Linked DNA regions of Styela clava. The protein of the gene in region 2 purifies or fractionates together with the protein of the main gene of each other region. This does not show direct contact. Links are inferred from orthologs where the notes say so. Each region holds a gene or a part of one and is shown on either strand. Other genes may lie near its edges.

Region 1 (3,759 bases), on a different chromosome or scaffold from region 2:
TCATTGGAAGTATTGGTTCATTGCTAGGTCACAGATGCGATTTGAAAGATAAAATATCCGATTAATAAAGTAAGACTGAGAGCAATACCAAAATTCAAAATAATTTGATTTGAGAAAAAATAGAACTTGTATTATTTAATTGTATATATAATAAATAAACCAAGTTTTAATACTACTTCCAAATTACCCAGTCATTTGCCCATGCAATTAGATGACCTTTCCACTTGATGTTTCTAACTAATCCTTCACCAGTATGTAGTGTTGTAGTTTTAGATCTTCCAAGCCAGCCTTTTTCATATAAAATCAAACTGTCGATACCATAAACCAGCTGCTTAGAACTATTTTTTGAAAAGCTTGGATCGAGAGCAACAGACTGTAAAACAGCAAATCGCATTCATAATCTTAGAGAAAGAGCAGAAGGGATTTATTTTCTAATATCAGAATGCTATTTAAAGCAGCTGAGTATCTAAGTTGAAGCAATTCCAAAAACACTTTAAAAAAGAGGTTTATCTAAACGTTTTTGTATGGCATGGCAATTGTATTTAATGATTTTGAGATGTGGAATAAATAAATATCCATTCCGAATACCCAGCAAGCATTTATTTTTGTGTCAATCTAACTAAAGTATAACATAGTTGAAAGCACTTGATATACAAACAATTACACATGGGTAATTTTGAAACCAGTAATTATTGATTTTCCATCACAAACTACAACCTTACAAACAAATATTTGACCCAACTTTACTACTTAACTAAGCCCAAGCGATCTCAGACATGTTATAATCAAGGGAAAACATAAATATAAGTGAACCCTTATGTGCTTAGAAGTGTAAACTGAACCAAAATTAGATGTTTACACAGAAGCTTGAAACTTGGGGTTTATTATATCTCTTACTAAAGACCATTCAGACCACCATACCTTCACAGGCCTGTCAACATTTATAGAGATGTTTTCAGTATCAGAATACAGCCCGACAACAACGACTTTTCCATCATCTGAGCAACTTGCTAAATATTCGCCGCCTTCATCAAGAGAAATCCCAGTGACTTGAGTATTGTGCTGTGTAATTTAATTTTTCAGATTACACAAACCTAAAAAAGTCACTATTCTCAATATAGAAATTTGAAATGAACCACAATGAAGTGAAACAATCCATTAAATAAAAAGATTTAGCAATTATTGGCATTCCCAAGTCTTTTTTAAATCAATGTTTCGAAGCGAGGGTCTGTAGTTTGAATTAGACCGGAGGTTCTCAATCCTTTTTTTATGTAGTCCTCCCTATTTTTAAACTCTTCATCATCTAGTCACTATGTATACACATAAACTTGGTTTCAGTTTGTCATTCAAGTTTTATTGGATCAATAATGGATTGTGATAGCTGATAGGCATAACTTGTACTATCTTTTATACAATTCGAACACTTTATAATATGTGCATACTATAATACTGAGTATGTGAAGAATATTAGTAATATTACAATTTAAATGCAAATATAATTTGAAATTTCCTGGCCCAGAACCTACGCAGTTGGAAAATGCTGAATTAGACACATGGAAAGCAAAATCATTGAATGAAATTCGGAATTAATTACTGATAAGCAAGTTCAATTACCATAACTATAAGCAGCAACATTAACTGGGTGCAGCCTTCTCATGTCTACGAAGAATATGATACTGAAAACTGATTGGTGTATCAAGTATAAAACAACCAAATGCCATTTTTTTTGCGCAAAATTAGAACTCAATAAGCTTACCGATTCAAATTGTTTGCTTGTGACTTTATTGCCATTATGATCCAATATATATATTTTCCCCCAGTGTGTTCCAAGTGCAACAAACTGAATAGAACAAAAACAATAAATAAAAGAATTTTGCCAACGAAAAAATTAGGATAAAAATGCTCACAATGTTATCTTACCTTGGATTGCATAACAACACATGATGCTGCATCTTCTGATAAAATTTTCAGAAGATCATTGCGAACTCTTTCATATTTCAATTGAGGTTCTTCTTCCTGATAAAAATTATTGGTTAGTTCAGTATAGTTTGAGTATAATTCTCATCATCTCATGTGTTTATGAGTCATTAAAATCAGTCTAGATAGTTTAATACAAAAATGAAAACAAAAGTTTAAAGGCACAAAACAATGAAATTCAAGATTTGCTAGTAAACGCAGGGACAGAATCCCTTCAATGCTCATGTTCTCATCCTTTATCAGCTTCTTTCTATACAATATTTCTCGATTGTAATGACTCTTTTTCAAATATAACAAAGCCATGAATACATATAGTTTATTGTAAAAAGCAACATAAGACATATCTGACATATAGTAATTTCTCAATTTAGAAGCTACTGTAAGTGCAGAAGTGATAATAAAATGACCCACCTCCGACTCCGAATCAATATCACTGTCAGATGACATCTTTTAGTTCACACAAATGAGTGACTTAAATACTGTAAATACAGAAATAGGTTAGGTGAAACTAGTTATTTATAACAAGAATTACAGAATTAATTGAATCTTGGATTCATTTCTTGTCATTGTGGTAAACTGCTTGTCCGAGCAAGTGCAGTTACTTTGGTGAGGGCCGGAAGCTGCCGCAAAACCATGGCGGGATAGGATTTACATATTTCTGTATTTATCTCGGGGGAGAGGAAAGCCGATAAGACGGCTTATCCATATGGCGAACTACGGCCTCGCTATAGAATGTAGGCTTTCTCGCTGTCGCGAATCATAAAGTGGCCTATTTTGTGAAATATACCATACTAACAGTATGAAAAGGTTAAATACATGTGATCCATAGTTACACAATGCACATTCGCTACACTATTTAGGCTTAGGCTACAAGTCGAGATCCAATTGTTGCTCGACAATATACAGATATAGATTCCACAAATAATGGTAAAATGGATGGTAAATTGCCGATCCTGACTGTGCATAATGCGCTGCCCCTAATACGACTACCGGTATGCATTGTGCCCAATGCGCTGCTCCTAATGCGAACTCACTGTGCCCAATGCGCTGCTCCTAATGCGACTACGCATTGTGCCCAACGAGCTGCTCCTTACAGCCTTATGCCTTATGCGGCCTCACTGTGCCCAATGCGCTACACATAATGTGATGCTCTCAAAGACTGAAAAAGCAAATTAATCACTGTTGCTACTATCTAAAAGTCGAGTCTGGCTTGTCATTATAGATTCCATAAACAATGGTAAAATGGATGGATGAATTGTCAATCCTGACTGTGCCCAATGCGCTGCTCCTAATGCAGTAATGCGATCTCGCATTGTGCGCAATGCGCTGCTCCTAATGAGGCTTCATTGTGCCCAATGCGCTGATCCTAATGCGGCCTCACTGTGCCCAATGCGCTGCTCCTAATGCGCCTCACTGTGCGTGATGCGCTGCGCGCAATGAGACTTTTAGGCTCCCAACACCTCTCACAGGCATCGTGCCAATCTGGAAAGCACGGCCGTTAGGATGGGATAAGATTTACATATTTATATTTAAAGGTTTTGCTCGTTCTCCAGAATTCTCCATTTTCAATTTTTTTGTGTTATCATATTGTGGAGTTGTCGAAACAAACTATTGGATCTCCGCTCTAGAAGACCCTTATTATCGGTCGTTCTGTGTCTGTCTGTGTATCTGTCTGTCTGTTTGGGCGTAGCGTCTAAACGGCTGGACGAATTGAGATGAAATTTTTCACGCGGGCTATCCTGTCACCCTAGTATTGTGAGTTTTATAGGAAGTCCGGTTGGG
Region 2 (3,759 bases):
TTTTGCAGTTGCTGAAGGCATAATAAAAGATAAGGATTACAAGTAAATAGGATGCACTTGACTTCTATACAGAAAACAAAACTTCGGGTTGTAGAAAATTTCAACTCCATCTCCAGGAAAATCAAATTTTGATGACACAACTTTGGCGTATGCAAGCCTTCATTAATAGACTGCTAAGAATGATTACTAAAACGGTACTCCCGTAGTATGTGTACTAGGTTAGGGTTAGGCCATAATTTTATTTCGATTTTCCTTATTTTAGTTATTTACAGGGATAGTTTAGGGAGTTCAGGTACTTTCTGTGTTAGCCAAGTGCATATACCCCCATGGGCTTCAGTCCCTCCCTACACAATTTGATGCCAAGTAGGCGAACAAAACTAGTCACCTCCATATTGGTACACATACTTCTGGAGCACCAGTAAAATAGATGCCCATTGAGTTTTAGTGAAAAGTTTTGACTTTATTTATCACCATTGAGAAAGGCTACAACTCCAATTAAAGACTCCAGGGCATTCACAATTTCCACTGTGGGGAGTTAGAAAAATACGTCTCCAGCTCCAACTCTGAATCCAGTGCAAAAATAATGAACTTTGACCCCAGGGCCCTAGTAGAACATGATCAAATTTAAAATATTAATCATCCTATACTTGCTGATCAAAAATTTACCATTTTTAATTTCATAAACTTCATCTATCAATCCTTCGTATGTCAGTTGGGTAACAAGCGGCGACAACAAATCAACAGAACGATCTAGAATCAATAATCTATCAATTTGTGGAGGAACCTCTCCTTCATCTTCACTACTTTTTGATTCAAGTCGGATTCTTTTCATAATTTCACAAACCATCTATGAATAAAAAATAAATTTACATTTAGTACTCGCTTGGTCAGGGAGGTGATATCCAAAGGTTATAATAATAAATATTTTATTTCATGTTTCGATGAAAAATTTAGCGTCATAGATTTATACAATGTCTGCATCAATAAAAAACTTGCTGTTGCATCTCTTCGACAAGTCTTATATAATCCTGCGTTGTGTCTTATTGGACGATTGAATTAAGGGTGGCCTTATTACGAAATTTTTTTTATCATTAAAAATGTTAGCATGTTCTTTAAAATAAATCATGAATTGGCGAAAATGACATGGTGTGTCACAATGGGTCAGTGGTTCACTATCCCTGTCTGAAAATAGATGACTAAGCCTATAAAAAATAAAGCAATATTTTGGAATTGCGATTGATATATTTCAATATTTTAATGGGATTTTATGTTCAAATGCCATCACGCCAAAATTAAATACTTATATGGTAAATTCTAATAATGTAACCATATACCAAATGTAAGATTATACACATAGAATACCTGGGCATATCTGCCTTTGCAATGAATATTTGGAATAATTCCAAACTGTTTCTGTAAGCTGTTCAATGCTCTAGCAACCAAATAAAGTGACGAGTAATCTTCATTGATTGTGCAGTCAAATAATGAAGAATAATGTTCCATAGACAGAAGATCGTACTCCAGAGGAATAAGATCAAGTCTGTATTCTTCTATATTTTTCAGCATGCTTGAAACTCCAAGTTCCTGGTAAAAATAAAAGCAATTTTATTTCATATTTAACCCATTGGGGGAAGGAAAGTCGACAAGGCAGTAATCATACGGCCACTCGTTTGATCGAAGAAATAATACCTCCAGCTTTTGAAGGCAAAGATAACTTTTCCACGGTACAAAGAAAACGTGAAACTCTTTTCCAAAGCCTGTTCCATCTTCCTCTCTCTGTATATTCTGAGCAATAAAGTCCATTTGATCTAATTTTGGCCTTGTTATAAATATAATATGCTGTACAGTAGATTTTGCAAGTTTTCCTCCAGCAAGTGGAAACATTCTCTCAACCTCATGTTCTTTCAGCAGCGGAAACTCAGCAATGAGACCAAATCGATCTGTGAGAGCATAGTCCCAAACCAATGCCTAGAAAGGTAATATTTTAATGAGATCATGGCTAAAGAGGATACATATAAAGCTGGTAATAAAACAATAGCCATCGCTTATTTTGATAATATAATGCGAATAGATTTTTATTCGAATGTAATATAAATAAATGTGTGCGGTTCAAGCATGTGTTGTCATAGTCTGTTCGAATCCCATGCCCGCAAACCTCATCAAGAGTGTGATGAATTGGGTAGGCAATGCTTAACAAGACAGATAGCGTTCCCTATGAAAAAATAGTAGTTCTTTACTGTAGTTAGATATCAATGGTTGCTAGGGCAGGGATTTGGTCGTCATGAATAGACATCATAAAACATGCGTGGTATGAAAAAATGAATGTTGCATGAATACATTCACCTCAAATTTTCGTATATATCATCTTGTGATACCAAAGGCTAATCCAATGGGCAGTCCGACTGGGTTAGTATGGTGTGATGAGCATGAAAAGTTAAACCTTCAATGGAGGCTAGATGGCACCCTGTTTAACATACGAGTTAATAATGTAATTTTTTCAACTTCCAAAATAAAATCCTATAGTAGATCTACCTTCGGTCCAGCACACTTGTCAAGTAAACGTAACAATTCTCGTCTTGCTTCTTCCCTGACCATTGCCAGGTTTACCACACCAGTAGAGAGATGAGATGCCATGGCACTGCTTGTGCCTTTTTCAAGGAAAAATCACAATGGCTTCAAATCAAATACCTAGTTACAATACAGCAATAAGCTTCATATTTCTTTAATGAATTATTTTGTAGATTATGAAAGCGTAAAAACAGTAAATACAAAATATAGGTTATGTATAAATTATGCTATCCTACAGCTGTCGGGCTGTACAGTCTTATGAGCAAGTCAATTATTGAAAAAACTAGCCACAATATGACAATACATACCAATCACTCAATAGTCTCTAATTTAGATATTTTTTGTTTGTTTTCATATGCAATGTCAATATATTAAAATCAGTTATTTGCAATAATACAACGCATTATTTATCCGCTGCATGTTCCATTTTATGCATTTAAGACAAACAAATTGTAGTTTTCAAAGGTTGGTGTAGCATGCTAAGGGTTAATGGGTTAGGAATATGCTTGACATTCTGACATTGCACCTCCTGACCTCTGATTACTGGATTATCATTCGCTGGTTTGAATGCGGTGGAGGACAATTAGGCTATATGCCAGAAGATTGCTGGATTCCCCTACTACGGTAACTGACCAATCAATCATTCTCCATCTTATGATCTAAGGGTGGGTTCACATAACTCAGTAACTCCTGGTCGGTATATTCATCTGTACGGTATATCTTCCTCTATCGTTAAGTCCATGCATCTCAAACAAATAACTGGGGTCTCGTGAAGCAAACGCCGTAACTGCTTAAGTCTGTAACTACCCCTAAACCAGTAAACAGAAATGTGGTGTGAAAATGAAGGGTCTAGTAACGTAAACGCCGTAATTGCTTAAATAGCGCCTAACAAAATTGCGATGAGAAATAAACGCCGTAACTGCTCAAATAAGACCCAACAAAAATGGGGTCTCATGTAGTTTCGTACCTAACATACTTCTAGTGGACGTAGCATAACAATTTTTATCTGTCAATCCTAACCCCCATCTGACTACGCCACCTAAAAATTACGTCAGTACGACCTCACAGTGACGTAATAGAGCCCTTCAAACTATACGAACTGTCATTCGAGACGGGCACCCGAAATCGAAGAGCTATTTCTCTCGTTTTCTCGTCGCAACGATCCCGATATGAGAGAGATGGATGACAGTT

Evidence for each region. Proteins that work in one complex are often made in the same cells at the same time.
Region 1: the proteins of vacuolar protein sorting-associated protein 33A-like (region 2) and vacuolar protein sorting-associated protein 41 homolog purify together in Homo sapiens (affinity purification with mass spectrometry; 5 studies listed by BioGRID and IntAct, counting the BioPlex papers as one, with this or other methods). This does not show direct contact. The link is inferred for Styela clava from reciprocal best matches to the Homo sapiens genes VPS33A and VPS41.

What each region holds. Positions count from the first base shown.
Region 1 is NC_135252.1:10,828,499-10,832,257, forward strand, and holds the start of vacuolar protein sorting-associated protein 41 homolog, read right to left. Parts: upstream 2,508-3,759; 5' UTR 2,425-2,507; coding exon 2,389-2,424; intron 2,017-2,388; coding exon 1,921-2,016; intron 1,841-1,920; coding exon 1,757-1,840; intron 1,063-1,756; coding exon 922-1,062; intron 374-921; coding exon 188-373; intron 1-187. UniProt on the Homo sapiens protein: Plays a role in vesicle-mediated protein trafficking to lysosomal compartments including the endocytic membrane transport and autophagic pathways. Acts as a component of the HOPS endosomal tethering complex.
Region 2 is NC_135257.1:17,181,039-17,184,797, reverse strand, and holds the start of vacuolar protein sorting-associated protein 33A-like, read right to left. Parts: upstream 2,737-3,759; 5' UTR 2,635-2,736; coding exon 2,533-2,634; intron 1,969-2,532; coding exon 1,690-1,968; intron 1,585-1,689; coding exon 1,363-1,584; intron 848-1,362; coding exon 667-847; intron 12-666; coding exon 1-11.